2 linked regions of the Caenorhabditis elegans genome follow. The protein of the gene in region 1 interacts with the protein of each later gene in a pairwise test. Each region holds a gene or a part of one and is shown in the gene's direction. Other genes may lie near its edges. The genes, in order: trx-2 and pold-2.

Region 1 (14,987 bases):
GATCCTGAAAAAAACTTTTATTCCAATAGTTCTGTACATTTATTTTGTCTAGATATTATGTTCAATCTATGTATTAGGTTGGCAAGAAAGTCCTGTCCTATTTTTCAATCATTTATTTCTCGAAGCGAACTAAAACAAGAAATCAGTTATATGTTCCATCATGATCAACAACGTCCTGCCAACGTTGAGGTAACTTGTGGATCCCCTGCCTGTAGAATCCAGCGGGCAGGGACTCAAAGTATTGCTTGATATCAGATTTGAAATTTTCTCTTGTTTTGAAAGCTATACCTTGAAGGGCAAGAGTCAGATCGGAGAAAAGCCAATAATCACTTAGAGCAATGTCAGGAAAATTTGGTGGTAGAGGGAGAATCACCCATCCATATTTTGTCAGTTCCTGCACCACTTGTTTTAAAACATGTGGTCGAGAGTTTTAATGTTGGGAATATACTTTCTTATACTTTAAGGCTGAAGGACCGACTGTTTTCTTAAAATTCGGTAGTTGTCTTGAGTGGGTCTCTCCGGTAATAAATTCACCCTTAGGTAACAGCTCCCAGTAGAGGGGTCCAGCCAGTCCCACCAAACAGAGAGCATACTTTTTTTTTGGGTGAAGGCCGAGTTTCGGAACATGCAGTAGGGTTTGTCCTTCTGCAATCCGCTGGGCTTGTCTGTGATGGTTAGTGTACAACACCCACTTTCCGTGTTTAGTAATAAGCCGGCTCAACCAACGGTCACCGCCGTGGAGAGTGAGGAGATTACATGAAACATCAACTTGGCGGTTAAGGTTAGCCAGGGTCAAATCATGAGGTACGATCGACCAAGAATTTTACTCATGCCGAGCAATTTCAAGCTATCTGCTTTAGAGTTATGAAAGAACCTAAGCTTGCTTGCAAGCTCATTGGTAGTTTCAAACGGATCCGATTCAACACTGGCTTTCAGTGCATTCAAATCCAACTCATGTGGTCTTTTGAGCATTCCTTTTCAATCAACGAAAAGTCGCTTTTTCCGAAACGATTGAACCATTTCTGTATGGTTTTATACGAGGGAGTATGTCCATCGTAAACTTTCATCAGAAAAGTTTTCGAATCATTCAGTGTGTTGTCCGCCAGGAGCATGCATAACAGAACATGCCGAAGAAGAATTGAAGTAGGAAGATTCATCTCAATTGAACTTGAACTAAGAGAAAGGGAGAGGGATAAGGGGTTAATTACTACAAAGACTTTTGTCTGCTTATTAATCACTAGAAGTGAGTACACACCAAAATAGATCTACATCCCACCATGACAAAAAATTAGGACATGACTTTCTTGCCAACCTAATATTTTCCTTTCTTTCCTTCATATATATCTATTCGAAATTATATGGCTTCCATATAAAATAAAACTACCAACCACAATGAAATCCAACTCGAATTTTAATCTTCTCCCCTGGAAGATGAGGTATGCTAAAGTCCGCCAAGGATTTAACAAAGTTGATTGACATGCTTGCAATATTTCTCGTATGTTCATTTCCATTCCTTCTGGGAACACCAGAAGCAACAAAATATCCATCACCAATAGTTTCAACTTTGTAGACATCGTGCTGTTCAATAATTCCATCGAATATTGTGTACAATCCGTTTAATAAATTAACGACTTGAAGAGGAGTACACTTTCCTGCGAGAGTTGTAAAACTAACAACATCTGAGAAAAACAGTGTGACAATATCAAATGTTTCCGGTTCAACTGTTTGTCCAAGTTTCAGCTTATCAGCTACTTGTCTTGGAAGCATACGGTATAGAAGAACATCACTTTTCTTCTTTTCTTCAACTAATTCTTTCATTCTTTCAGCAACTTCATCTTCTAATGTTGATGCATATGATTCAAGTACATTGAATACATGATCCATTAAATTATCATTTCTATTCGTATTCATGCTTCTCAATTGTGAAGCTACTTGTTTAATATCAGGACGTTCTGAAGGTCTCTCTGTCCAACAGTCTCTTACTAGGTGAAGCTGTAAATGCATAATTATCAAAATTTAAACAGAGAAACATACCAATGCAGGATTTATTTCAATTGATTCATCATGTTCTAAGCTTGGTCGTGGAGATTGAAGTCCGCCCTTTTTCAGCATGTATATTATTTCTAAACTCAAAATCTATTAGGATTCAACTCAATTCATGAAATACCTTCTGCATCCTCTTTCCTGTTTTCGAGATCAAAAACTGAACTTCTGGTAATTAACTCAGCACTTATAATTCCAAAACTGTAAATATCTCCCTCTCGACTACCCAATATATCATCAGTTCGTAAAAGTTCTGGAGATGTCCATAATCGATCTAAAATTATATTATTTAATTCGTCTGGTTTTGACAACAATAAACTACAGTTTCAAAATTCAATTTTGTAAATTACTTACCAGATTTGTTGTATTGATCGTGTGTTCTGAAAATTCTTAATCCAAAATCTGTGATTTTCAACTGCCATCTGTCATTTAATAAACAATTTTTTGATGTGAGCATTCCGTGAAACTCGTGGGATGACTCATGAATCCAAGTTAAGCCATTGATAATATCTTTCATTAATGAATAAATAAAGAATCCATCCATTTGCATACTAGCTTTTCTTATCACATCAGCCAAAGATCCTCTTGAACAGAATCTCCATACGGAATAAAGTTGTGGAGCATCTAGACTCATTCCGATGAATTTATTCAAATTGGCATGGTCTATCAATCTCATCTTCAAACGTCACTCATTATGAACAACATATAAAAACCTCAACTACCTGTCTCATTGTTGCACATGTTTTATTATCGAATACCATACGAATTGAATGTTTTTTCGCTGCTACTCGTTCCATTTCAACATCATTTTGGATTTGGAAAAACAAATAATTTCTGGTTTCTCCAACTTCTGATAATGTTGATGATCTTGTTGAAGATATAGTACTGGGAACACTGCTGATACTTCTCATACTATGTTCTCCTTTTCCTTTCTTTGTAACAGTCATCATTGATTTGAATGGTATTTGCCAAAGTGCATTTTGTCGCTCAACTTCTTGTTGTTTTGCACTTAAATAAGGGGTTTATAAAGGTGTGTGATATCAAAAGGAACTTACTGGCAAAGGTAAATAAATGCGAGAATAGCTCCCATGATAGTAAAGAAAATTATAATTATGGCTGCAATAAACCACCCAATATATTGAAAAAATACGTTTGCAGGGCACAATGAACCCGTGTATCCACAAATTGGTTGATCAGGTGGTCGGATTCCTTTTCTATGAGACCATAAAGCAGTTGCTTCATTTGTATAATGTTTTGTAACTACTGCCTCCTGTTGATCCACATCAACAGTCATAATAAGTGAAGAATTATTGTTTGAATCAAGTGTTAGAACAAATAGAGTTGGCTGAAGTCCTCCACCTTCATCTATGGCTACTGTACCACCGACTCCTGAAATACAATTATCAGATTATATCAGATTCATCAGATTCAGTTTTGAATAAACTATATTCCATTAAATACACTTTCGTACCATTAAATACTCCTGCCATTTTTCGTGGGAATGCAGTTCCATTTTTATACTGATTAGGAACAGTTTTCATTATTTGATCCATTACAACTCCATAGATGTATACTGAATCGTGTAACTGACCAGCATACGTAGCAGCCTAAAACATATTCTTTGAATTTGAGCCGATTCTGTTTTAAATCTGACAGTTTGATATTCAGGAGACGCGCACGCATCTGTACAATTATATGGTGGCTCTTTCATTCGTTGAATAATTTCATGTTCAAACTGTGTATAATTTGATCCAACGTTTCCTTGACCTTGCATCTGAAATATCATGTTTTTGAAATGAATACTTGATAATTATTGAACTAACATCAACAATAAATATTGACTTTTGGAAACCCAAAAGAGCTTCTTGGTCACCTGGTTGTGGGCCTGTAGCTTCAGTCCATGGATATCTAAATGTACCATCAGCTTGTGGTACAGCTGAAAATTTTAACTGAAGATTTTCAGAGAGTACAGTAAAGTTTACCATATCCTCGAGATCGAAGTGAAGGGAAAATATAAACGTATTCATCATTAACAAATCCATTTCTTGCCGCTACTAACATCCATCTTCGATGAAGACCTCGTGAATTTCCTTCATGAAAACATGGAACAATTACTGAAAAATAAATTACTTCAGATAATAATTTCAGAAATGAAAGATACTTCTTCCTCTCGTAGAAACATCTTTTAAAATTGCAAGAAGCCCTTCTTCACTGTGATCCATTATTTGAACTGCATACGATAAAACTATATCACCATAATAGGCTACCATATTTTGAAAATCATCTCTCAATGTTTCACATTTTTCATCATTCATTTCCAAAGAATATGCAAATACAAATTGATCCCATCCATACTCTTTCATTACTTCACGAAATGTTACAGCAAGACTGAAAAATTGGTTTATCGTAGTAGATCTCAAAGTGGTGTAATATTCCAATCGAAACTAAAACTAAATCCAAATATATATTCTAACTGTCTTTATACTGTTATACTGTTATAGCTGTCAAAACAATATAATTAAATCTCTTAAATAAATGTTGTGATTTTTGAAATGTATCCAACCTTCTAGATCCAATTGATAACATTCCAGCTGTTGGAAACCTGGATTCATCATCCAATGTTGCTGATGAAGTTATCCCCCAAGTAATAAGTGGGATATTGTAGTAGGTGGCAAGAATGAAAACTGGCATTGCAGCTGAAACTCAGTTTTCCAAAAATGAAGATCCATCAATTTATTGAATATTTACCATTATTGGTAGTAGGACCAAATAATACATCAACGTTGTGCTCTGCGAATAGTTTAATTGCATTTCCAGCAGCAATATTTTCATCACATTGATCATAGAGAATTGTAAATCTAAATTGTTATCATTTCAATTTCATTCGGGACTTTTTAAATTTAGATTTAACCTCCAGAAATAAACCTGGATCAATGTCATAAGTTCCCATTTAGTTTTAAATTTTTGGTAAGAAGGGTCATTTATTGTTACTATCCCTACAAACTTCATTTTATTTTCTTACTTGAAGTCATATCCAAGAAGTAATCCTTCTCGTTTAATTTTATCAATTGCAATACTCGCTGCACTTGCAGATGTTCGATAATTGATATATGTAGTGGATCCTTCCACATTCTGAAATCAAATATTTTATGAATAACGCTATGCTTTTCACGTTTTCAAGTACATCGCAATGCAGAAATCCCAGATGAAATACGTTCCCAGGAGGTTGACATATAGTCTGAATATCATATTTTAAGAAACGAACGCTCGCAAGCTTGAAATTCCGGGTACCTGGATCACAAATAATAAAGGAAAAATTACAGAACGTAGATAAACTCCGATCATTCACTGGAAAGGAGTTATGAAAATGAATAAGTGGGCAGTCTTCTGAGGTTTTAATATATACAAAAAGTGTTATAAAAACAATATTCTATCTTGTTTTCTTTAGTTTTTATTAGTTTTCGGATATATTCCAGGCGGCTCATAATCATGAGCAAACTTGTTGAAGGGCTTCGACGAACAAGTCAGAGATAATATATTTGTTCAGTCCTATACGCGTATTAATCAGCTTCATTAGTCAGAAAGAAAATTACGAATTGTCTGGGATGCATCGGATGTGTTTAGGATGCACTTCTCATTTCTAGGTTCTGCACTCCGCATTTAAACTGAATATTTAAATGATTGATAAATTCCTCAGAACTTTTCAACAACTGGTTGTATATATTTGTTACAGAGTTCAAGTGTATTTATCAACATTTTTCAGGTTATCTGTCTACCGATGCCCGAATAATAATTTTAATTATTTCAGAAAACGTAAATGGCCGAGTTTTCCAAATGCTGGCCTAAAAGTTCTATTAGTTTAGAACAAATTTTTTTTGTTTTTAATATTAAATTTAACTTTAATAATTCAATTTGAAATTATTTGTTTTAAGGTTCACATCAATAAATAATGTTTTTATCAGATGCAGAAAGCACTTAAGCTTGGATCATTCTTTGCTCGATCAGCCATCTCCGTCAAACCAACTCTGGCGACTTCAAAAATGACACAATTACGTCATTTTTCTCACGGCGCTTCTGTTTTCGACATTGATTCTGTTGAAGATTTCACAGAAAAGGTAGATAATAGATAATTAAGTGTAATATATCATTTTTTGTTTCACAGGTAATTCAATCATCAGTTCCAGTCATTGTTGATTTCCACGCAGAATGGTGCGGACCGTGCCAGGCTTTGGGACCAAGACTCGAGGAAAAGGTACATACATATGTTAATTACTTTAATAGTTTAAAAAAACGATAAATCCTTTCAGGTAAACGGAAGACAAGGAAGTGTTCTTCTCGCCAAAATAAACGTTGATCATGCTGGTGAACTGGCAATGGATTATGGAATCTCTGCGGTGCCAACGGTATTTGCATTCAAAAACGGAGAAAAAATCAGCGGATTTTCGGGAGTTCTTGACGACGAACAGCTTGACGATTTTATCGAGGACGTTCTCGCTGCTTAAACTGTGTATTAAAATTGCCAATGTCTATTTAAACGTGTTGATTTTTAATGGTTCATTTAAATTAGAGGAATAACATTATGAAAGAAAGAATCACATTAAAAATTCACCGAAGCAATATGTATAGACATTTACACTTTGTAAAAAACACGTTATCATTTTTTTCCTGTTTGCAGCCATTTTGGCATAGCGGATTTGGCAGGAGGTCCCGAATGCGATGAAGACGAAGATGATTGAAATTGAGGTCTCTTCTGTTTACGGTCATCATTGACGGTTGAGTTGAATGGCATAAAAGTTTTGTTCAGCGAGAGCCAGTCCGCTGACATCGCATCTGCCTTTTCTGGAGTAACCTCGATCACATTGTGTACGACATCTGCTGCATTCACTGTTTGTCCTCCGAAACTGGCGATCAAAGTGGATTTCGGCGCGAGTTCGATGTCGACAAAGTTTTTCAATTCGTTTGTGACCACTTTCAGATTAGTGAACATGAGTTTCCATCCAGATCTAGTCAAAACGTTATTCAAAAACAAGTCAAGATTTGAGCTTTGTTCGGCAGTATTAAAGTACACTTGAAGAATGTGTTCTCCAATCGATATACGAATGACAGTGTGTTTGTAGGCTTCTAATTTCAACTGACGATTCTTCTTTGCCAGGTATTCTTTAGAAATGAAGCTTGCTTGAGTTTGATCACGACTGAAACCGTACGAACATTATTATATTTGTTGAAAGCGGAATTCTATAACATACACAGCCTTTCGAAGATCTTTCTGCATGTTACGAACATCTTCAATCCCAACTTCGAAAAATTCCTCTGTTTCCATTGGCTCATCAGTTGTTTGCACTCTTGCTCTGAAAAGTTTTGTTTTGTGATACTATTTAAAATTTCAAGGATTTAAATGTTTGAGATTTTTAGTAGAATTTAATTTACCTTCCTGATTCGTGTGAACTTTTGAAAACTATTTTCATATATTATTTCGAAGTCAAAAAAAAAGAGTGAGCATTTACCGTTTTTTGTATATGACTGCTTGTCTATCGCATGGATTTGCAAAAACTTCGACTGGGTCTTCTTCTTGCTCCTGTTCCATTGCAACATCGGCTCTCGTTCGAACTTCAGCAAGTGAAATTCTTCCTCCATCTGCCAATGCGTTGACCATTGCATCCATTCTGGATTCCACTGCAGGTGTAGCTAGCGAATGATCTACGCGCTCGAGAAGACGATTTAATTCTTCCATTCTCATTGTGTTTTGAGGTACTTGACGAGAAAACGCCGGTCCGTCAAAGGACCATGAATTTGGATTCTGCTCAGGAACCTCTTGAAGCACATCTCGTTGTCTGAAAACCAAATTTTGTGAATTTATGATTTATTTGTTTCTAAAATTCTTACTGAGACTCAGTAGTGTCCATTACGGTACTATCCTGTATATTCGATGCAGGTTCCGGTATAAGAGCTCTCAATTGCTCTTGCTCTCTCTTTTCTCGAGATTCTTTGTCTTTATCGAAAGCTTCTTGTCGCAATCGTTCCAAACGATCTCTTTCAGCATTTTCAGCTTTCAATTTGACAAAATTCACGTCGAGAGCCTTTTTTCTTTCGTTTTCTTCTTGCAATTTCGCTTGCATTGTTGCGAGTTCTTGATCACTAAGTTTAACTCTCATATGACGAATAAGGCATTTTCCAGATGCTACTCCAAGGCTCGAGAGAGAGTTGACAGCGAGCTCGGCACCAGTGTACTGAAATTTAAATTTTCAATGTTTTAATTACTTTATGTATCAAATTACCCGCTTATTCATGTAGACAATGCACGGAACGGATCCATCAATTGTCGTCGCTAAATCTTCTTTGAACTCGCTCGTGAAACTTTTCAAGGCATCTAAGAGCATCTGGTTTACACCTACTTTCTTCTGATGGCGAGCTCCAGAAGCAGTCTGAATAGCTAGTTCAATAATCGTATTCTCGGATACAGCTTCCTTTTGTGTCATTTCGAGAGTTGCATTGTTGGCGAGTCCGGTGAGTCGAAATGGAAGAGAAGAGTCAATGGGTTTACGAGATTGTGTTTGAAGACGATGACTGTTTACTTCAAAACCACTTTTCAGACAAGCTTCTTCGAGAACTTGCCTCATCAGCATCATTGGAGTGGTTTTTATTTGAACCCTTTTTGCATTTGGGCAGATTATGTTCAAGGAACTCATCTGCAAAATATTATGAACTGATAAGAGTAGAGTGGCATTACAAAAAAATAAACGGAAAAGTTGGAAATCAACCAGAATTAAATAAATACACCTCACCGAACATAAGCAATTTTATAAATTCACAACAAATAACAAAAAGGTTAACAATAAAAATAAAATGAAACATTGAAACTGTTGTATCATTGGTCCTCTGAAACAAGATTCAGCTCATTCGCATCATCGGATCCTTTTTCTTCCAACACATTTTCTTCAGTTTTTTCATCGTCACCACGTGTTTTGAACGAAGCATCTCTCATAGCCTTCTTGCCCATATCACTTCCAGTTACCTCACGAAGAGCTACAGTTGCATATGATCCAGATATCAAGCTAAACTGAATTTGCAATGCCAGAAGTGGACCTTTCTGTTCTGCTTCTGGGATAGCACGTGTTTGTAATCCATCTTGCAAGAGATCTCGTGCATTTCCATATCGAATAAACTTCCATTTGAGCTCCTTCGCTTCAACAAACAAGCATCTTGATGATTCGCCAAGTGAAAACCGACTTAAAATATATTACATTGATTGAACTTGGACCAGGAAACTTACTCTTTTAGTGCTGTGAAGCTCGATTGAGTGAGTCCATCTTCTTCAAGCAATTCAGAGATCCACTTAGCGCCATAACTACCCTCAAATGGCAAGTTTTCTCCCGGTAGTGGTATATGGATATCATAATGAGTTGCATGCTCGCCAAGAGAGAATCCATTGGCTCCAACGTCACTTTCATGTACTCGAGTACCATATTCCTTAACTCGACGAGAAGCTACTTTATTCCAAATGAGGCTTTGATAAGCGTGGACATAAAGACTGCGGCTTTGAATCGGAATTGCTTCAGTAATACAATTTTGCCATGTTCCTCCTTTCGAGAGACACTTCAAAATATTTCCTTCGACTGTAGCAAAAGCCTGAGCTCCTTTCAGCTTGGAAAATGCTTTTCTAGCATCCCCAGTTTGGGAAAAGCACTTAGCGGCGTAGCCAACTGACCCGTATCCCAGATGATCTAAAAAATATTAATTTTCTTTTTTTTTAATGTTTTAGCGCTAACCGGGCATAGCATTAGTCATGATCATTTTGACTGCTTTCTCCCAGTCTCTTTTCACAATAGCTAATCCGATTTCGGCTGTCGTAGAACTTCGTGAACCAAATCGTTGAGTACCTGAAGGTTATGAGGTCTATTGATACTCACCACCGATACTCACCGAAATAGTTGATGAATCCCGTATTTTGGAATGTTTCCAGTCTTTGATGGAGCAATTGTTCCGAATCGTCAGGCAAGCTTCTTAGTACAATGCTGAATCGATTTCCCCAGTGAGCTCCCATTTGAACTGGGTCATCTTTATACTCACATCCAAAGACTCGAATACCGCGGAGTTTCGAATTCAAATCCAGAATCGTTCGCTCATGCACTTTAGTAACACTAACTCTCTGTGAAGTCACAGCTCTCTTGTCTTTAATTCCGTGAGTTCTGATATTGTTCGGGCCCACACTGAAAATTACTTTTTAAAAAGTTTTTTTCTAAATTACAACTTACTTTAAAAACTTTGCAATAAGTTGGCAAGCAAAGCTAGTCTCTTTATTTTCTTTGCAAATGGTGAAGTGACATTCCTTTGGAACTTTTTCATCCCATAGTTTTCGCTTCCGACTGCTCTTCGTATGACCATGAGATACCAGAATTCCATCTTCCTTCGTTTCGGTGATTAAAACTCCAGCATACCGCTCTCTAATGAAATGATGAATGCTTTTTCGATCTTCCTTGCTCAAATCGTCAACTTTTACAAGAACGGGATCTCCTTTCGTAGAGAATCGGTCATTTAATGCAGCTAATGTCTCTTCTGAGATGCAATCTGGCTTAGCAACACACTCTTCGATCTCAATGTCTTCTTTTTTGGACCCAGTACTTTCTAGGACAACATCTGGCGATGGAATGGCCAAAACTGTGTGGTCGGCTGAAAATAAAATTAATTCTAGTAACATTAATTGAGTTTGATTAAATAACCTAAAATTTCTTGAACGATGAAGTCACTGTACATTTCTTTCAGTAGGCAGGGCACAGGAGTGATTGTATGCTCACTGGCATACTCGGTCAATCCAAATTCGGTTTCCATCTAAACTTTATTCAATAAATACATGAAAGAAATCAGACCAAACGATAAAACAAATTATGCGTAAAAACCATATTACAAGACCCCATTAGCAGAATAATCAATGAATTAACGTGTGAAATTTAGAAGCGCTGAGTCATAAAATTGCAATCGTCCTGGAACCCGAATTGTGAGTAGAATGGGAGAAGTTCAGGAACACACTCGAGAGAAATTTTGTAAACTCCGAGAGACTTTCCAAGAGAAACAAGAGTCTTCAAAAGAACGGCTCCTAATTTTTGACGACGCATTTCAGTATCCACGACAACATCTTCAACCCTTCCGCGACTTCCTGCCCCGTGAATGAACTTCATTTCGACAACCAAACTGGCAGATGCAACAACTTTTTGAGAATTGGAATCTTCGATGACGACTATATGATAATTGGGGACCGAGGTCCTCATCGCCTCAAATCGCTTTTCAAATGCTTCCTGATCAAGATTTCCGACCGAAGTCAACTGACTCAGAAGATCAACATATCCTTTCGAGAAATCGTCTTTTGCCAAGGGACGAACTTTAAAATTGTCAGGAAGATTCGAAGGAATGTGTGGAGCTAACACAGACGCATCAAAAATGTGAGACATATTTTCTCTGAAGAAAAGTGATGACAAATCGTTCGAACGAATGAGAAAAACTTAGGAGGAATCTAGCGCAGCTTGCTAAATATTTGAAAAAATGAAAATTAAAATAAGGAGAGAAATTATAACTCGAACGATGCGGAGATTTGTTCCAAATCGACGCAAAAAATAAATAAATCAACGTTTAAAATTGTTCCTAGAACTAGGCCACGGCCACGCGTTCTCTCGGCCATGTACTCCTCTCGGACAAACATTTTAGAAACATTTTACATTGAACGACCTGTGAAATCAAAAGAAAACGTTTTACTTCTTTTTTTCTTTATTTTTTTTTCAAAACTCCAACTGCCCAGTATCTGCCATTGGTTTTTCTATTTACTTTCTCATCGCGCACTTACACACTTGCAGCTGCACTCGTTTGGCGTATTCTCTCCTCAGAAAAAGAAACTCTGCGTCGGCTCCTCCCTCGTCCAAAAATGTTTCCATTACTCATTTCCGCTCTTTTCTTCTTGTTTCCGTTTTTGACTTTATTTTTCTGTGTCCATTGATTTTTCTATACAATTATTCATTTCAGAATGTTAGATAGACTTTGGGAAGTGCGCCAAGCACTGCCCCTTTATCTGTTAGTATCTACGCTTGGACTTGCCATTTCATGTTGTTTTACTCTCATATGTCCTCACGTTTGTCGATTGATACCTGCACTAACTACATATGGAAAAGCTGCTGATCAACAAGAAGATAACTCTTTGGTAGAAAAAATATCTGTACCTAAAAAGTGAGTACAGTTAGTCTTTGGGAGTTCTATCCTTGTCTGAAATTTTTCAGATGGTTTAAGCATTTTTACGCAATCGGTCTTCTAACACTTTTTATATGTCTACACACTGTCCACTCGTTAATCTACAATCCTAATTATCTGCATCCAGTGGTTCTCAAGATTCTTGCCACGCTAACACGATCCTACAGTATACCACCAAGTAAGTTTTTCTTTTAAAAAAAAAGTGATTTTCTTTTTTTTTTTTTGATTAGTGGTTTTTGGAATATATGCGAAGTCGCGACGCAGTTGTATTAATTTCATTGTTTTCAATTTTCAGTAGAACTTAAACTTTTTATTTTCAGTCAAAAAGTGTCTATTACTCAATTTTGTAAAACAACAAAAATATTGTATTCTACAAATGTTATATTTTAATAATGTTTCAAATATTTTATGTAATCACTGTAGGGCTTCAAACATGTGGTGTTGCTTTAAATTTTTCAAAAACTTCAAACGTTTCGTAAATTTAAAAATAGATAAATACCATTTGGCAAATTACCAAAACTTTGACTCAAATTTTCAGAAATTAGAAATTTGATTAGAATATCATATTATACACTTTTAAGTTGAAATAAATATGTTTTCAGTTACCCCAAGCACATCAATCTTGGCTCTCCTGCTCATAAGCCTTCACGTAGCACGACGTCTCTATGAAACAATATTTGTCAGTGTTTACTCGGACAGTCGTATGAACTTGTTTCACTATGCAGTTGGGATAGTCCACTACATCATTCTGCCAATTTCAATTATGTGTGAAACACAGGGAGTTGCTTCCAAATGTAAGAAGATACTTATCTGAAATGTTCTAGTAATTTATTTTCACAGTACCTCAGCTTCACGTGTCAATTGATGATATTTCTCTCACCCAATGGGCTGGAGCTGTCCTTTTTTGGATTTGCAATTGGAAACAACATCAGCTAGCCGAACAAATAGCAAATACAAGAAAAGGTCCTAGAGGACTAATTCGCAATTACGCCTATGGTATCTGCTTTGGTGGTTGGTTCAATCTCGTCTCATGTCCTCACTTTCTATTCGAGATATGCATCTACTTGTCACTTTTTCTTGTAATTCCTGATGCCTACGTGTATAGAGTAAGTTGTCAGTTTCATCCGTTTTTCTTCTAAAAAAATCCGTTTCAGTTCATAATCATGTTCGTGTGCATCAATCAAACGTTTGCTGCTCTCATCACTCACTCCTGGTACCACAAAACATTCCCAAAATATCCGAAAAGTCGGAAAGCTCTCATTCCTTACGTTCTATGATGCTCTTCTCCCGGTTTCTTTTTATTTTTTCGCTACTCGTGTCGCTAGATTCTTGTCATAAACCAAAATTTATAAAGCAATTATTTATAGTTTATTAATCCAAATGTGTGCAACATAACTGTACAAAACACATTACATGAACTGACGAGACGAAAAGCTTTTTCATTAAAATCAGGGACAAGGATGACCCGCATCGTGAGTTAAATTGATTGTGGATGAGAAGGTGGATTCATAATTAGATGATTGAAATGAAAAACTCGAACATGTGACAGAAACTGTACGAGTAAAAATTGTATGCGAATTTTGAACCCGCAATGAGAATGAGGAAGTAAGAAAAACAAAGGATGGTTTAATTATACTGGATATCGATGCTTCGGTGTCAGTGGTTGTGTGTCTGAAATCGGCACGTGTCCAGAAGAAGAAATTGTAGAAGGTGCTGTCGAAGTATCACTCCTGAAAAATATTCACGGAGAATGCGATGAAAATAGAAAATTGAAGCATACATTGTAGAAAGCAAACTGTCTGATTGATCATCTGAATTCTGCGAGTCGTGTCGAACATGATTAGTTGATGTCTTCAACAATTCCTCCGTACTTCTGAAATATTTTTTAAAAATAAAGTATTTGATTTGTGTTACATACTCTTCTCTCGTGTCCTTCCAATCCACGAGTCTTGGCATGGATCCAATTGTTTTTGACGCTGAAAGTCTTACTGTTGATGCTCCCCCCGATGCTATTTGGCCGACTTCGTTGAACTTGTGCAGCTGAAATTGAACCTATTTTAATAGACTCAATTGCATTTAAAGCGAACCTTGTTGCTTTTCTTATTTCGTTTATAGAGAAGCATAAGCACAATAATGAGAGCAACGACGCAAAGAGACATCAGAGATACAACAATCAGCGAAGTAGCAGAGCTTCCATTTCCATCATCCACTCTTGGTCCAAGAGAAGTTGGGAATGATGCTGAACCATTTCCATAACCATATGGAGACCATTTTGCATCTAGAACTTTAAATGGAAAACTGTGATAAAACTTTTTGATAATACCTTTGCAAAGCGGACAACAATGTCCTTCAATTGGTACAGGATCATCACAATGTGGACAAACCATCTGACGACAGACAGTTTGACCACCGGTTACACAAGAACAATTTGAGCATCTACCATCTTGCCACTGCTCTCCAATTGCATAAACAGATGATTGATAAGAGCAAACAGCTGATGATGAAAGAGCATCTGAGCACACTGGACAACACTTTCCTTTGATGACAAGCGGATTTCCACGACATTCAAGACTCTCATCGCAAGCTTCTTTGTAGCAATCAGCAGAGCCTTCAGCAGAGCAAACACACGATGTACAGTCATCTTGACGCCATGAGGAACCCATAATAGTTTAAAAATAATTTTGAACTCTCAACTTAATTTAAGCTTACCAACA
Region 2 (17,582 bases), on another chromosome or scaffold:
CTCGAAAATCACAAAGTTTTGTGTCTGGGTAATACGGAAGGTTTTTTAATTTTTTTTGTTGCAAAATTCTCGAAGTTACCAAAAGAAAAGATTACGATTCCAACATTTCAAAAAATCTCACCTTTAGCAGCACACTCCAAATCGTGTACAATCGCCTTTTCTTGTTTGTGCTGTGAATGTTTTCTCACGTCCTGTGAGCATCTTCTGTCTGCTGATGTTGATGAAGTTAACGTCATCGAAGTTTCCTCGTGCTGGCCACCGGCCCCACCTTCAGACGAAGACGTCGTCATGTTTGGGGTCGGCACGGGTGAAGCAAGTGGTTTGGGTGAAATTCTGGAAAAGAAAATTATAAATTGAATGAATGATATCGGGTTGAAGGGGAAAGTATGGAAGAAACACGGATTGTTTGAAAAAAACAAAGGATAGGCAAGGAGAAAAGGAGGACAATTTATAGAATTTGTTTGATTGATTTATAAGAGTTGAGTGGCTAGAGTTAGTTTGAGAAAGCACAAAAAAAGAGATGGGCAAGCAAAAAGCGCAAGGAGCGGGACGAAAAAAGTAACTAGCTTGGCAGATGGTAAAGCCCGCGTTTGCCCCCTTACTGCTACTTCACATAAATCAACGTGTGGCTGGCGAAAAATAGAAAAAAAAAGTGAACAAGGGTTTGGTGGACGTAGCTTTCAGAAAAACAGTGGAAAGAAACACCGAGGACGGCATGTAACAATACGGTTTCAGGACAAGAGGAACGACAGAAAAATAATAGGAATTGCAAAAAGAGAATAGACATCAACATAAAGTGAAGCAGATGGACTGAATTAAGCATATGTATTTGATTTCGTTTTTGCTAAAGTCATCGTCTTTTTTTTTTGAAAACAAAGCCACTAGGGCGCAAACAATTAATATTTTACATACATATTTGAGGGGCTCCCGTAGATGCATAGTTACCTGAAATAATTTTTTAACAAAAAAGTATAAATATGAATTGATATTTATAACAAGCTTAAAAATATCAAGTTAGAAGTAAACCGACATTCGTTGCTCTTCTTTTCTTCAAGAAAAGTAATTCCTCAATAGAAGATTAACTATGGATTAAATATTGACCCTTTCAATAGAAACGAATCTATTTTCGAGAAGAAGAAGAAGAAAACATAAATGGAACGGACAAATGTTTATTCATCCGAGATTATGTAAAAGTATTACTATGAGGCAACAGGAGAGGGGAAGACCAGGACAATGTTATCTTTATTGTCCATCAACATCATATTCCTCTTCCACGACAACATTCAATCGGCACCTAACATATACCTGATGAATGAGAAATGAAGAAAAACATCCCAAATAACGGATATTGGTTTTGGAGCTGACTGGCAAAAGGATGCCATCAATCTTGACTCGGTCTCTAAAGCCTTTCGGCTATTCCAAAAAATTCATGCTTTTTTTTGGAAGACGAAGCAGGAAAGGAACGATTGAAAGTGAAAAACGCCTTGGGCTTCTTGAAAAAGAGAGGAAAACTTTTATTTTAGTTTTCTCTTTCCGACAAACAAGGGCGCTGCCGGACACTGCCGGACACAAGAGACAAGAATAACTTTTTTCTGACAACATAAAGAAATGAATAGCGCACTGGGAATATTTTTTATATAAAAATTTTAGAATTAATAAGCTCAGAATGGATTATATAGTCTCATGAGTACATAAATATTTAAAATTAAAGAAAGTGTATTCCAATGAAGAAGGAATAAGAATGTTATGTAATGATGACGTTCATCGGTCTCATTGTCTCGTCCACTTGGGAAGAACAAGGTTCCAATTGGCACCTTCTCGTAGTGGCCGTCGTAATATCCCTACACTAATCCTCCTTACACGGCTAATGTACTCTTATGGGAAACGAAAAGAACATGAAAAATGCGAGATAGGCAATACAGTACAGTCTATATATTTATTTGCATTTTGCAATACCATATAGAAATTCGAAATGTGCGTCGAGAAAGAGAAAAATAAAGTGTGAAACGTATGTTTGCCGTAATTAACAAGCGCATTCGACGACTAGAGGTGCGTGCGCGCTCCGCCGAGCCTTTCCAAGGTCTGTAAACACGGATTGGAGCGATAGAGCGGTCAAGACTAGAGAGACGTAGGTGGTTAGACACATGTTCTTCCCGAATGAAGAAGAATCTCCAAAAAAGACCGGTCCGGAAAGAAAATCTATGAAGCTATTCCAATTCCCATCACTGAATCCATGAACATGGTGGAGGGCTGAGAAGTCAAGCGTGACCGGCAGAAGGACATGGAGATCCGGTGCCTATCGACTAGCCACAACTGGTGAGCGTCGAAGAAGAGAAGATGTTGTGATGAAATTCGAGATTGTCAGCGATAATCGAGAGACTAGGTCAAGTAGTGGAAACGCAGAGAAAGGGGGAGACGATGACGTGGATGCTCTTTAATACAGGTTGAAATAAAGAAAGAAAGAAAGAATAGACTGAAAACATATGAATAAAAACATTATAAATGTCGAAGGAGACAATATGAAAACATGTAGGGAGCGGATGATGGACGGTATTCTAATAGTAATAGTAAACGAATAAAAGAACGATGTGAATCGGGTCAAAACCAAATTAGTTTCGAGTGTCCTTCTGAAGAGGCTAAGGGATTCAAAAGCGGATTTCATGATGATGCGATTACATCTGATCCTACAGTATTTTATACTTTAACTCCATGTGTCACTGTAAAATATCGAGAAACTTGAGAGCAGTGTTGTCTCGATTTACTGAATATATCAGTAAAAATGAATAGAATATTTCTAAATATTGCGAAAAAACTGATAAATTGTGCTTCAATTTATAAAACAAAAACTCAATTAATTCAGCCGGAAATGTCGAAACTAGGTCAATAAAATTCTCTGATTAAAAAACCTATTTTAAAAATTAGAAAAATGCTATGATATTTTACGAGTCGTATTCAGTATAACGATACTGGGTTTGAAATTTAAATAATAAATAAAACCCACAAATTGATCAAAATAATTTCAATGCTTTCAAGTTCATAACTCAAAATTGTCATTAAAAATCGGGTAAGTAAAATAAATGCGGATTTGTATAATTCATGACCGACAAAATAAGGATAAAACTTATTAGCATCATAATGGATGTGTTGAGCGGCGGATGCGGGCGGCACACACTCAAAAGAAGTAAAAGAACATGCATTGTTTATCCGCGGCTCATTCGTCATAACAAGCTCTAATAAAGTAATAAATACCTAATGGACGTGAATAGAACGAAGGAAAAGGACCAAAAAAGGATATGTGACACCTGACGCAAGTGTTCTCTACCGATTTCACTTCGCTTCTGATACACAATTACATTATTTTAGCATCGTGCCTGGGAAATGAAGTCTTTAGGGAATCGTAAAATTTAAACCATCCGTCGTTCTGCACTAATTGATCAAAAGTGAAAGGGCAAGGGAAATTCAGCTAACGAAGCCGAATTTATTTGTCAAACTGAAGCTTAAAAGCATTTTTTGAAAAAACTATAAGCACAAAATAATATTTCTTACAAGTATATTCAATAGAGTTCGAAATTAAACATTCGTGAGGGATGTTCAATCGTCTTTTTATCCGATGGGTAGTACCTGACAGTAACAATAATAACTTAACCTTGAGACCATAAGTGGCAGACGGTGAAAGGATTCGAAGCGCCTAATTGCCATTGGAATCGGGTCATTTGTGTTACTAATGTTCCGGGATACAAAAAAACAGTGAAACGTGTAGACACCCTGATATCAATATTTATAGGAACAAAGTTGAAACTGATACATTTTCTTGAGGGTTTGAGTGGGCCGAAAGATTGCAAAAAAAAAGTCAAAAAGTGAGCGAGTGACTAATGTAAATGGAAACTGTACAAACATACTGAATAGGGAGGGAAGAGGTCAGAATAAAAGAAAACTCTTTCCTATTGTTGCCAGTAATGGACGGTGAGATCCAGAAAAACAGAGAAGGGCGGTGCGGTTTGAATACGAAATACGGAAAACGAGAAAGGGATTGAGAAACAGCTGGCGATCTATACCACAATTAGCATAAATAATAAGAACCTCATTAATGAATATCGTGAGGAAATTTTTTTTTTTTGAAACCTTACTTTGAATATAAATGTGTTTAGCCAAATTTTTGTAATTTTGAGCACACAAAAACGTGCATCGATATTATTAATAAGGTCTATTATCACATCTAGTTGGAGTTTAGAAGGATTTCCCGAATTAAACTGAACAAGCAGTACTAGCGGGTAATATTCTATTCAAAACCTACAGAATCCTGATTCAAATAGTAATTTTTAATCGCCTAGGTGTAATCTAAATAATTATCAACATTTCCATTTACGGAAACAAAGAAAAAAGAAAAAAAAACAACAAAACAAAAAATTAAAATTCAAAAAGTGCCGAAATGAAGAGAGACAGCTGTTGCCTGAAGAGACGCAGCACGCTGGGTCTCGCAGCGATTTGCCCACCGCGACGTTTGCGTACACGGTGGATCGCGCTGTGACATGGAACTTTACAGCAAAATCAACGTTCTTTTCGGGATTTAATTAATTTCTAGCTCGATTTCTAGCTTTTTTATTTTGAAAAATATAAAATAATCTTTATACTTGTTCCAGGATGTCATATCAGCCGCCACCAAACGGGCAAATGCCCGGATATCCTCAACAGCAATTTAACCAACAGCCGCAGTTTCAGTCAAACGGATTTCCCCCTCCAGGTGAGTTTATATGAACATTTGCATAATACAACAATTGTTTTAGCAGCGCCGCAAAAGCCAGCTCAAGTCCCAGGTGGATTTCCTCCACCCCATCAGCAACCAAATGGACAGTATCAAAATGGAGGCTTAAATGGAAATTCGTCTCACTTGGCACAATCTGTGAATAATATGTCTATTGGAGCTAGATCAACTCCGTCAGCACAACCCCCAAGTGAGTTGCTTTTTTTTCGCTAATCCGTTAAGTTTAATTTTAAGATCCGTACCAGCCAGCAGGATATCCCGGAGCTCCACCACAGCAATTGCAACAAGTACAGAGACAGCAAACTCCTCAACAGTTCGCCGCTGTACCTCAAAGTGTTCAAGGTAAATAGTGTTTATAGAGGCAAAGCTAAAACTTCTATTTTAGCTCCTAGTGCCACACCTGCAGGTCCACTTCAAGCAATGCAACAAGCGCCTGCTCCGACTCCGGGAATTCCGCAAATGAACCAAGGAGCTCATCTGCCGCCACAACCACATCAGATCCATCAACCCACTCCGCTTCGACCACAAATCCCTGGTTTTCCACAGGCAGGCGGCTCTCCAAGTTCGTTCCAAGCTGGAGCACCCACTTCACAAAATGTTCAAGGCTACCCAGGTGGACCATCTTCTGCTCCTAGCGCTTACCCAGGTGCTCCACAAGTGCCTCAAGCGCCCAATTCGTTCATCCCACCTGGCACAGGAGGATTTCCACCAGGACAACCCACAGCGGGCTCGTTTCCACCCGGTCCACAAGTTCCAGGATCATATCCCTCTGGCCCAGCAGATATTCCACAAGGCCCAGGCATGCCAAGAGCATTTCCTCCGGGAGCCTCAGCTCCAGTTGCACCAGGGATGCCAGGAGCATTCCCTCCAGGACAAGGAGGACCAGGAATGCCGGGATCATTTCCCCCGGGAGCCCCAGGCCCAGGAGGACCAGGAATGCCAGGATCATTCGCTCCAGGAGCTCCAGGCCCAGGAGGTCCCGGCGGATATCCCTCAGGAGGTCCAGGTATGCCGGGAATGCAAGGTGGATACCCCGGCGGCCCACCACAGCAACGACAACAACGTCTTGATCCTAATATGATGCCAAGTGCTGTTCAAGTTATTGATGATGATTCGTCGACTCGTAGCGGGATCTTCCCAACTGGATATCCGAACGCTGAATTGCCGCCACTTGTTTCTACAAATTCTTTCGCTCAAGATCAAGGAAACTGCAACCCCAAATTTATGAGATCAACCCTCTACACAGCTCCACAGACTAATGACATTTTGAAAGCATCGCAGATTCCGCTCGCCGTTGTCATTTCGCCATTCGCATCTCTGACTGAATATGAGGTTTTTTTTTTAATTTTTCAAAAATGAATAATCAATTATTTTCAATTTCAGAAAGAACCACCAGTCGTCGATCTGGGACCACAAGGACCGATTCGTTGCCAGCGTTGTAAGGCATACATTTGTCCGTTTATGGAATTCCAAGATGGTGGACGCTCCTTCCGTTGTCCATTTTGCCATGCTCGAACTTCTGTCGAAGATGCTTATTTCGCCCATCTCGATCATACAGGCAGAAGAACTGATATTGAAATGCGTCCAGAACTCTGTCTTGGAGCGTATGATCTCGTAGCTACAAAACAATACTGCAAGGTACGTAATTAAAAAAATCGCAATTTTCAAAAATTCTAAGTGACATTTTTAGAATGGAATCGCGCCAAAAGAACCGGCCTTCATATTTATGATTGATGTATCCTACAATGCTATTTCAAACGGAATGCTTCCAATTCTTTGTCAAAATCTGGAGAAAGTACTTCGAAATTTGCCAAGAGAATCTGGACAGCTCGAGTCGTCTATGCGTATAGGATTGGCTACATTCGATCAGGCGGTTCATTTCTTTGACATTTCGTCGGCATCTCCAAAAATGCTCGTAATGTGTAAGTTTGATAAACTTATAAAAATTTGTCTAAATATGTACTGTTTTTAGCTGATGTTCAAGAGCCATTTGTTCCTATGGTCGATGGACTTCTTCTCCCTTACAACGAGGCACTTCCTGGACTTCGTGCCGCATTGGCTGAAATTCCTAAACTCTTTTCGCAGTCGAAAACCACCGAAACCATTCTTCAACCCGTCGTACAAGCCGGTCTTGACGCTTTGAAGTGTGCCGACAGAGCAGGAAAAGTGATTCTGTTTTCAACTGTTCTACCAACATATGATGCACCGGGAAAGCTGAAATCCAAAAATGATCGATCTCTTCTCGGGACAGATAAAGAAAAGAATGCACTGGTTCCACAAGAAGATTCATACACGAAGTTGGGAGAGCAATGTGTCAAGTCAGGAGTTACTGTCGATTTATTCCTCTTCCCAAATGCTTTCATTGATGTTGCCACAATTGGTCAGCTTTCTGCAGTTACGGGAGGATCTATTTTCAAATTTCAGTATTTCTCGGTAAATTTAAAGAAAAACCAATAATTTTATTAATTTTATTTTTATTTCAGGCCGATAAAGACGGTGTTCGCATGTTGAATGAGTTGGAACGACACGTTTCTAAGAAAATTGCATTCGACTGCATGGCAAGAGTAAGAACGTCTACAGGAATTCGTCCTATCACTTTTACTGGCTCCTTTTACATGGAAAACTCAACGGATTTGGAATTGGCTACATTGGATGAAAGCAAAGCATTCATCACAGAAATCAAACATGATGATAGTCTGAAAGATCCAGCTTCCTTCATTCAAACCGCTGTACTGTATACGTCGATGACTGGACAGCGCCGTTTGCGAATTTTGAACTTATGCCTTCCAGTTACTGCTGATTACAACCAAGTTTACCGACTTGCTGATCCGGAAGCATTGACAGCATTCATGTTGAAGCAAGCTGTTCAATTGAATCGTGACAAGGGAAGCTCAGAAATGAGAGAATCACTTTCTTCTCGTTGTGCACAATTCCTAGCGACCTATCGAGAGAAGTGTAGTGAAGGTGCCCCACTTGGACAACTGATTCTTCCTGAATCTCTGAAATTGATGCCGCTCTATGTGAACTCTATTTTGAAAAATGATGCGATCAGTGGAGGAAGTGAAATGACAGTCGACGACAAAGTGTGGCAGATGGAATTGATCCGTGGGCTACGAACTGAAAATGTCATGCCTCTTATTTATCCAAGAGTTATGCCAATCTCTGATCTACAAATCAATGATACTGAAGAAATGAAGGATCTTCCAAAACCTGTTAGAGCGAGTTCTGAGTTCCTGGAAAATTCGAAAGCCTATATTATTGATAACGGTGTTATTCTGTTTGTCTGGGTTGGCTCTGCATGCCCCCAGACATGGGTTCAAGACGTGTTTGGTGTTGGTGCTACAAATCAAATTGATACCGAGAGTGTAAGTTATCAATTGCTACGTTCAATTAGTCAATTACATTTTTCAGGGAACAATTCCGGAAAAAGACAATGGTCATTCACGTGCTCTTCGTCGTGCAATTCAACTTTTGCCACGTGGGATCCGAGAGCGAAAAACGTTCGTTGTCGTGGAAAAAAGCGGCCTTGAGCCATGGATGAAGAAATTTTTAGTGGAAGACAAGGCTGGTCCTGCTAATATGTCATACGTTGATTACCTTGTGGATATCCATCGCAAAATCCGCGATCTCATTTCCTAAGTCGTTGATACTGTGATAGAATTGCTTCTCTTGATTGTTCCCTTTGTTCTTCCTTCATATTATTTTGATCACGCCAAAGCAAATCTTGTGATTAGAAATGTTGGAAGAATTAATATTTTGTACCGGTTTCTTTGTACACATTCATTTCCTTCCCTCTCGCCGTACTATTTTCTTTTAATATTATGGAGCATGGTTTGTAAAAATTAAGATATTAGCTTTCCTAGCACCTTATCAGTGCAAAAATAGAATTTGTTTTATCTGCTTTTTCCCAGATTCCTAATTTATTCTTTTCCAGTTGCTCTCGCGACTTTTAGAGATTTCTATTTATTGTTCCTTTTTTTGTAAAATATCCCCTATTACCCCGTCCATATAATTTATTGTGATTTGAAATGGGATCGAATGTGTTTAATTTGATGGTGTCTTATGAAAATAAAATGTTTTTGATTAAACATTTGAGAATCGAATATGTTGACTTTGTGAATATTATATTTTTGAAATTCACTTCGGTGTAATGTTAACGCGCTCTAACGCAATTTGCCGCGAAATTTCAACATTGACAAATTTGCCTTCTTGAATTGATTTTTTTCTTTATTTTAAGAATGGAAACCGCTTGGTCCAACATCCTAAACTATAAGAATGTCTCAGATCGATACATTCTCACTGAAAAAGATAAAAAAGGTATTTATATTTTGCTCTAAGCTTTAAAAAGTTATTTTCTTTCAGGTGCGTTCACTAGACAGTACTTTGAAGTCTACGAAGCTCGCTTGAAGGAACTGAAACCTCGTATTTTGGAAAATGCAGAACGTGAAATTGGTTAGAATTATAATATTACTAATAAACCTTAATTTTTATCTTCAGGCAAGGGAAAATTCACGCATTCACAATTGAGCGATGCTAAACAAGACGAGGAAATCTTCGTGGTCGGCGTTATTGTAAAGAGAATAGCTGCAAGACCATCAATTTTGAAATCGTTGCTCAACGAGGATAAAGTGGCTTATGATGATTATGAAGAAGATGCCGAAGAAGACGAAGTGAAAAGATACGCTGGAAGCATTGAAGATCGAATCGAATTGGAATCAGATAAACAGACAGTACGTCTGGAAGGAAATATTTCAATGGATGAGTGTGCAACTGGTTGTTGTGTTGGAGTTCTTGGAAAATTAGGAAAAGAAGGAGTATTTCATGTGAATCGTTTGGTTTGGCCATCTGTAAAAGTTCCAAAGAAAGTGGCTGTCGACGGGACTATCGCTTTCGTCAGTGGACTCGATCTAACTGGAGATTTGGAAGACGATGTGAGTATTAATTCTGTAACTTGAATACTATTCCAACTTTAAAATTGTGCTCCAAAACTACGGTACACGATCTCGAAGCGACCGATTTTTGTTAATACAAAAGAGTGCGCCTTTAAAGAGTACTGTAGTTCCCAACTCCTCGTTGTTGCAGATTTTTCATTAATTCGTCAAAATTTGAAAAACATTTTCACATGTTTTTCAATAAATTTCAAAGAAACGGATGAAAAATCGAAGAAAATCTACAGAAGTTCGGAACTACAGTAATCTTTAAAGGCGCATAATCTTTTGTTTTCTGTTTTTTTGTCTAATTTAAATCGAAAAACAACCAAATTACACCTTTTCTCGGATATTTTAATCTAAGTATTTCCACTTAATCCCGGACTTCTGAATGAAATCTATGCCATTTGAAAGAGCATCTTTTAAATAGGCCCCTACAAAAATTTAGCAGCAGAGGACCACTTTGATCTGGAAAAAAGTCTCCCTGAAAAATGTTCAGTGCATTTTTCCACAACTTTCGAGGTCTGTGAATGGCTCCAAATGTGAATTTTTGTAGATTTTTGATGATTTCTAAGATTTTCAGGGGCAGGCAAACATTCAAAATTTGTTTTGGAATTTTTTCGATTTTTTGAATCCATGTCCATTGCGAAATTTCAGATTTTTTTCAAAAATTTTTAAACATTCCCAAAAACAAAATCTGAATGTTTACCGGCCGTGAACATCTTAGAAATCATCAAAAATCTACAAAAATTCACATTTGTAGCCATTTTACGGACCTCGAAAGTTGTGAAAAAAAATGCATTGAAAAATTTTCAGAGCGACCTTTTCCAGTTCAAAGTGCTCATCCGCCGCTAAATTTTTTATAGGGGTCTTCTTAGAAGATGCTCTTTCAAATGGAATAAGTTCCATTCAGAAGATTCATATTTCCATGGTTTTCTCGAAACTACAAAATCATGATTTCAGCGACTCACAATCTCTGGTCTTGAATTTATGGCTGATTGGATGAATGTTCAAGTTGGAAATGAGAATCAATGTCCACCGATTGATCGTCTTGTAGTTATTGGTCCACTGGTTGAAACAAAATCAAATGGTTGTGATGTTCAGTCAGTCGTTCGAACACTTACTCTTTCACGTGCAGAGAAACATTCTTCAACAGCATCACTAATTACTGTAGACAAAATTATTAATTCAATTGCTGAAAAACCTCTTGTTAACACTGTCGACGTGACTCCTGGTGTTGGTGATCCATGCTCATCGATGTGGCCACTGCCACCTATTCACAGAGTTTGTCTTCCACGTTGTGGAATGAGTGATAAAAAAGTGAATCTTGTGACAAATCCATATGAATTTGAAGTCAATGGACTACGTGTGATGACAATGTCTGGCGAAAACGTGAGCGAGCTTCTTCGTACTTCCCTGAAATGGACGGGAGCTGATGCTATTGAGAATATCATTAAATGGCAACATGTGGCACCAAATTGTCCAGATACTCTTGATGCATTCCCAGTGGCTGAAAGGTTTGTTTGGTGCATTTTTTGGAGCACAGAATAATTTCGAAAAATATTTCGAACCAAAAAAACTAAAAAATATGTTGATATTGGATTTATTTCGAAATATAATTTTTTTGGAGCCTAAGACCTAAATACTTTTTGAAAAATTAATCAAAAACCACTAAAAATAAGGTTTGCTGTAAGTATATAAATTTTTTTCGGGTATTTTGGTGTCAAAAAAGAAGCCAAATAAAATCAATTTTTCCTTTAAATAACATTAAAAAACCAGAAAAATGTCCAACTCTAGTCAAGGGTGACATTTTTTCGATTTTTCGATGTTTTTCAGTGAAAATCAAAAATCGATAAAAGAAATTTTTCGACTTTCCAAAAATCGAAAAATTTTTGTTTTTCGATTTTCTAAAAAAAAAATCGAAAAACGAACACCCTAAGGTCCCTAGTTTTAAGTTTTAAAAAATTGATTTAGTACAGTACTTTTCTATTGATAGAGAACATTTATTACCTATACAGAGAATGTTTCAAAACAATTATTTTTCAGAGATCCTCTGATCATGGACATCACACCGCATGTGATCATTTGTGGAAATCAACCTCACGCCGAGTTCCGTCATATTCCAATTGATGGATCAAATTGCCTTGTTGTTTGCCTGCCCAAATTCTCCAAAACTCGTGTCGCCTGCTTTCTCAACTTATCTGATCTTTCCCTGAAGTGGCAAAACTTTGATCATCAGTTCTAATTATTTTATGCGTGTTCACATTCAAAATTCACATTTTGTTGAATTATCCAGTTATTACTCCATTTTTTGTACTGTTTTACGTTAAATATTTTACCAAATACGATTTATTGTATCTTTAAACGTTAATTTCCAATAAAAAACGAGGATAGGCTCATTAAAGTACGAAAAATCGCCTAAAATTGCCGAAAATCAGGAAATTAATTATTTGATTGTCTGAGAGGAGTACACACGAGGTGGCGCTCATTTGCGCGCGAAATTCAAATTAGATGGACGGCGAGATTTTTTTCGGCACTTTGAAGGCTCATAACTTCATTTAGCGAAATTTTTGTGATGTTTCGCTTTCACATATCGACTTGTACGAGCATAGAGAATGTTTTTAAGCACAGTCTCAAATTCGACTACACCACCTTTAACGAGATTTAAAAACCTTATTACCACAAAAAGTCTAATGACCGAAAATTACATTTCCAGGTGTCAACCGCCCTCCCATGAGAGACAATAGATGAGAGCCAATAAAGTAATTTTGAGCGTTCACACCTGTCGATAGTGTGTAATGACTCTCCGTTGTTCTCATTAGGCGTTGCAGAACCCTATAGTCAGTTATACAGTCAGTCTGCCAAATTTCTATCCAGAAAAATGGTGAGCTCTTTGTTGGAGTTGACTGCCTATAAAGTTGCTGACTATATTGAACGTGGTATGTTTTATTTTATTTTAATTCTTCAATAAACTATACAAATTTCAGGAAAGTACAATAAAATGAATTATATTCTTGATGCAAAATCGAGTAATGTCATTTACTGCCATCTCAGAAAAATGCGGAGCTCCAGTTATATTTTATCAAAGGATCGAACAAGAAACGAGACGAGTTGGACACATAGAGCAACAGAACAAATACGTCTGAAATTTCAAATATCCAAAATTGATTTCACTTATACTTTGTTAGATTTCAAGACATTTCGAATGCTCAGAGAGCAACATCTTGATACCCTTATTTTAGGGCATTTGATTAATGTCCGTGAATGGTTTTTAGATGATGAAAGTAAGTTTTTTGAAAGTTTATTATATCAACAGATGAGTAATAATGTTGCAGATAATATGAAAGTTGACATTTTCAAATTTTTGAGAGAATTATTGAATGAAGAGTGTCGACTGAAACTTCAAAACTTAGATATAACCGGTCATCAATCATCTTCAAATTTATGGATACAAGAGGTAATTTATGTTCATAGTTTATTGTTAGTGACTGAATAGTGCTAAATTTTTGAAATACCATATAAAACCTTTTGAATCATTTTTGAAATTTTTTAATTCACAGCCAAAAAGTGTTCAAAACTCAGTTTAATAAATTGCATAATACAGTGCGCCCAACTGCTATGGGAAACCCCCTAATTTTTGGGGTTTCAGACATTTTCGAACTTTTCTGGGGGAAACTAATGCTGGAATGGGATTCAGCATACCAAAAAACCTATGTAACTACAATTTCATTCTAAATGCTCAGAAATTGAGGGCAAAAGAGCAAAACGTTGAAAAATCGACCGCACAAATGCTAATTTCAGCCAATTTTTAATTTTACATTTGCTGCAATAATCTGCGATAGAAAGTTCTAGAATTTTGAACCTGCAGGAATAATCAAAACTATTCAAAAATCTACGTCAAAAATCTACATCTGCTAGAAAATTGGAATTTTATTATGCCAAAACTGTGACTCTAAATTTTTTAAACCTAAATTTTTTGGAGGGTCTTTTTAAGATATTTGGGGAATTTCTGACTTTAATTAGTTCTAAAATCCCTATTGGCTTCAAACATTTTCTGAAGTTTGACCAAAAATCTAACCCTCATTTTGTTGTTTCAGATTGGTTTGATGCTTCCGAATCTCATGCATTTCGTTATAAGTTACACTAACCTAGATTCTGATAAGTTCATTCAACTTTGCCATAATTTCACCAATTTATGCTCATTGGACATCAGTGACGCAAATATCAAAAATCTCAACGGAATCTCACATTTAAAAAATCTACAAATTCTATGTATCCGGAATCTGGATTTTGAACATCATTTCGATTTGATTGATTTATTCAGTTTGAAGAATTTAAGAGCTCTAGATGTCTCGAGACATACGTTAGTTTTTTTTTTCAGATTTAGATAATCACTTTGGAATATGTTTTCAGAAACAATGCTGTTACAAGAATCATCGAATTGTATTTAAACTGTGGAATGTTACTCCCAGAGTTAAGATATTTAAATTGCACTGGAACTGATATGAATCAGAACTTTTTGAAGAATTTTCAAAAATCTCATAAAAGCCTCTGTGAACTTGTAGCCCTGGGTAGGATTTTACTTGAATCTACAGTTATCTAAAACATATTTTTTGATTTTCAGGTACAGATTTAGAAGAGTCAACGAGTTAAAATATTAATATTCGGAATCCATCTAGTCTTTGCTCACTTCTTGAATTTCTCACTAATCAGTTGAACTCACATAGATCATTCATATTAGATTGGTGCTTAATGTTTTTAAATGGATGGATTCATGAATACTATGAGCATTTTAATGCATCTTGGATTTTAGACCTTATTATTCGAGCAATGAGAACGTCTTCAACCTCAATGCTTCAGTACTTTGGAGCACAATTCTTGATAAAAATTGCAACGTGAGATATAGTTCAGCATTTTGAAAACAGGGTTGGCAAATCGGATTTCTAGTATTTAAACAAAAAACTTTGCCTTGAAAATCCTAAAAATCCCCCGAAATCCGGAAAAACCAGCTGTAGTCGAGCGCCAGTTAAGCATTTTTCAGAATACATTAAAATTAAATATCGCATTACGAAACCTCAAAAATTTCAAGATTGTTGAAACTTCCAATCAACGTTTTAGTAGATTGGCAAAATTTTCGAAAAAAACGTATTTTTTGGTGTAATTTCAAGCATTGATGCAGGTTAGAGCCTTTAGAATCTTGAAATACAAACAATGAAGCCGAAATCAAATCACAAATCTCGTCGAAAATAGTTTTTGGTTCAGACTTATGATAAATTATAACGAACTACTATTTTTTAATTGTACATAATAACATTTTTAAAATGTTTTGGAAATTTTTATTATGATATCTGAACATCTTAGCACTCTGCATAGGAGTGGTTTTGAGATATTTCGATACTGACAATACTCCACCAAAAATACGCTAACCCTGTTTTTCACAAAATTTTAAACCACTAAATCCATTAAAGGAAAATTTCAAAAAAAGAAGTTTTGACAAGTATTTTAACTATTTCAATTTCAGGTATTACATTCATCAACTGAACAGTTGTGAAGTTTCAACATTAGTAATTTCTCTAGTAAACTCTGTCATGTTTCTGCCGAAAATGGATACGGAGCATGGTCGAGAAATCAATATTATGGCTTGGAATACTATAGATTCACTAGCATCTTATGTGTATTCTTTTGATTGTGACAATATTTGCAAGACTGCCATGAAATTCCTAACAACAACTGGAGTCTATGATGGATTTCAGACCCGAGCACTTCATGTTCTTGTCACGCTAGTCAGAGATAGTGAACCCGGCGATCTTCTAAATGTGGGAGTGAATGCTGCTCGACTAATGGAAATATTGGAATTAAGTTTTCGATGGCACATTGCCGGTTTTCAAACTATTCATTGGTGTTTTGATGCTATTCGAATTCTTGAACACCTCACTTGTTGGAAAGAGTTCTGCATTGAAATTGTGAAAAATGGTGGAATCGGAATTCTGATTGGGTATATCGAAATGTTTGATAACGAGTTATTCCACATAAAAATACTCACCGTATTACTCGCTATATGCGATAGACTAGAATACAAAGACCTAAAGATTTTCTTTGCGGATTGCACATACGTATTTTTAGAGTAAGTTCATTTGGCTACATTTATTTTAATTTTCAAATGAAAATCCGCGCTGATTAATAAGCTAAAGTTGTCTATTGTCCAGTTCCATATGTGATTTTTATAATTTTCAGAAGAATGCTCAACAAATGGAATGATGATCGAGGATATTATGTATGGACAATTCTTACATTCCTTGTAGCAAATGCAGATAAAAATCAAGTTGAACTTCCTTTCTGTGACTCAGCAAATCAATTAATTTTGGAACGTGTTCCAACTCATCTAACTGATCAAATCAGAGAATATCTTGCAAATTATTCACTTCGCACCAAATTTCGAAAAATCGTTTCGTTATCAAAAAGAGATGGTCCAATTTTTTGGGTTCTGGTATCTATGAAAAAATTCGTGGAACAAAATACAGACAGAGAATCGTTTATTTTTACATTCACACAAGGACTTTTCAATGACGAGATCCGTAAACTTGAGACTAAGTCTACTATTGTAAAATCTGTAAGGGATGAACTCATTACTTTGTTTGAGTTAAGTCCATGATTAATTTGATTAATTTGTTGTACTTTATCTGCATTTGAGTTTGTAATGAAATAAATTATAGATTTAACATTTTCCCCAATTCGCTTTTTTTCTCTTTCTCAATAAAATCATTTTTGACATTTTTGACAGTGGGTTGTGATTGCAATAATTGATTGTGATTGAACCATTGTGGGGTCTTCTTTGGACCAGTTGTGCTTCTTCTTGCCCAGAACGTCGTCTTGCTCGGTAGGCATATGCGCAAACTCCGCGCACATTCCGAGTGGTTTAACACATTTGTTTTTAATCCGCTCAGATTGTGCGCGGAATATGCTTAGAATGTGCACAACATGCAGGGCAGCTAGAAAATGAAGACCTCCGAGACCTACCGAGATAAAATCAGCCTCAACTCTTGTTGTCAACCGACAAAATCTTATGCTCTCCAATAGCGCTTAGAATGTAGAAGAACAGCCTGAAAACTAACTAGTAAATGAGTGAAAAGTACGTTTGTTTTATTCTTTTTCATTATTATAATCTTTAGGAATCTTTAGAAATAAAGACAACTTTCTATCTAATTCAATAAATATGGACATTTGATCCAGTTCTTCCTGGGGTATTTTTTGCATTCGTTGTGATTTCGTTTTGACTGAGTGAAATCTGCTTACATGGTTTACAGACGGTGCTCAGCTGGCAGGATCATGTTTGTTATTATTTTTAATATTTTAAAGATATATTACTACATTTTGATTAACTAAAAATGACCGTTAAGGTGACCTTCGACCCAGTTCTTACTAATTGTATAGAGATTCAACTCGTTGTCTACTCGAGTGGGCATCACGAGAGAACGAGAGGAGAAAAACACTAATTTCAACCCGACTATGCGAGCATGGATGCCCAATGCTGATTCCCCGACTATTTTGGATCCGGGTGTAGCACTTTTATCGGAACACGTCAAAATGTGCTGCACTCAGATATGATGTAATTTTTCGAGAACATTAACAAAGATCTCCGAGAAAAGATTGCTCGAGATGGTGACTGTCATGAAAAAAAAATCAAACATTCGGGAGGTTATACGTCATCTGTGCCAATATCTATATTTGGCCTGTCAGTTTTTGTCAAAAGAGAAGAATCACAAGTATGAGATCTCTTTTTTATGCTCATTAGAATAAAGTTTTGTATAATAAAGTGCCAAAAACTAACCAGATGACACACGGAACTTGTCCTTAGTCGAACAACAGATTTGTTGAAAAATTACTCTTCATGA

The links.
Region 2: the proteins of trx-2 (region 1) and pold-2 interact in a two-hybrid assay, tested with the Caenorhabditis elegans proteins (one large-scale study listed by BioGRID).

What each region holds. Positions count from the first base shown.
Region 1 is NC_003283.11:10,308,666-10,323,652, forward strand, and holds trx-2 (putative thioredoxin-2), read left to right. Parts: upstream 1-6,005; coding exon 6,006-6,158; intron 6,159-6,205; coding exon 6,206-6,295; intron 6,296-6,350; coding exon 6,351-6,545; 3' UTR 6,546-6,629; downstream 6,630-14,987. Other genes in the region: Receptor-type guanylate cyclase gcy-6, read right to left, coding at 1-4, 1,389-1,992, 2,035-2,123, 2,168-2,317, 2,398-2,719, 2,766-3,051, 3,099-3,432, 3,515-3,650 and 9 more; asps-1 (TUG ubiquitin-like domain-containing protein), read right to left, coding at 6,698-7,235, 7,290-7,391, 7,548-7,874, 7,927-8,270, 8,319-8,729; Putative pseudouridine synthase B0024.11, read right to left, coding at 8,909-9,269, 9,314-9,764, 9,810-9,920, 9,964-10,250, 10,296-10,710, 10,761-10,869; gna-1 (Glucosamine 6-phosphate N-acetyltransferase), read right to left, coding at 10,989-11,486; srdf-3 (Polyprenal reductase), read left to right, coding at 12,053-12,252, 12,303-12,451, 12,876-13,067, 13,114-13,379, 13,428-13,550; crim-1 (Cysteine-rich motor neuron 1 protein-like), read right to left, coding at 13,904-14,003, 14,054-14,146, 14,192-14,313, 14,361-14,551, 14,597-14,932, 14,983-14,987. UniProt on the Caenorhabditis elegans protein: Participates in various redox reactions through the reversible oxidation of its active center dithiol to a disulfide and catalyzes dithiol-disulfide exchange reactions.
Region 2 is NC_003282.8:11,553,251-11,570,832, reverse strand, and holds pold-2 (putative DNA polymerase delta small subunit), read left to right. Parts: upstream 1-8,999; 5' UTR 9,000-9,000; coding exon 9,001-9,079; intron 9,080-9,124; coding exon 9,125-9,214; intron 9,215-9,259; coding exon 9,260-9,693; intron 9,694-10,653; coding exon 10,654-11,207; intron 11,208-11,736; coding exon 11,737-11,935; 3' UTR 11,936-12,096; downstream 12,097-17,582. Other genes in the region: srgp-1 (Rho-GAP domain-containing protein), read right to left, coding at 122-290; sec-24.1 (Protein transport protein Sec24C), read left to right, coding at 4,642-4,741, 4,785-4,952, 4,997-5,104, 5,148-6,094, 6,146-6,400, 6,453-6,684, 6,735-7,195, 7,246-8,127 and 1 more. UniProt on the Caenorhabditis elegans protein: The function of the small subunit is not yet clear.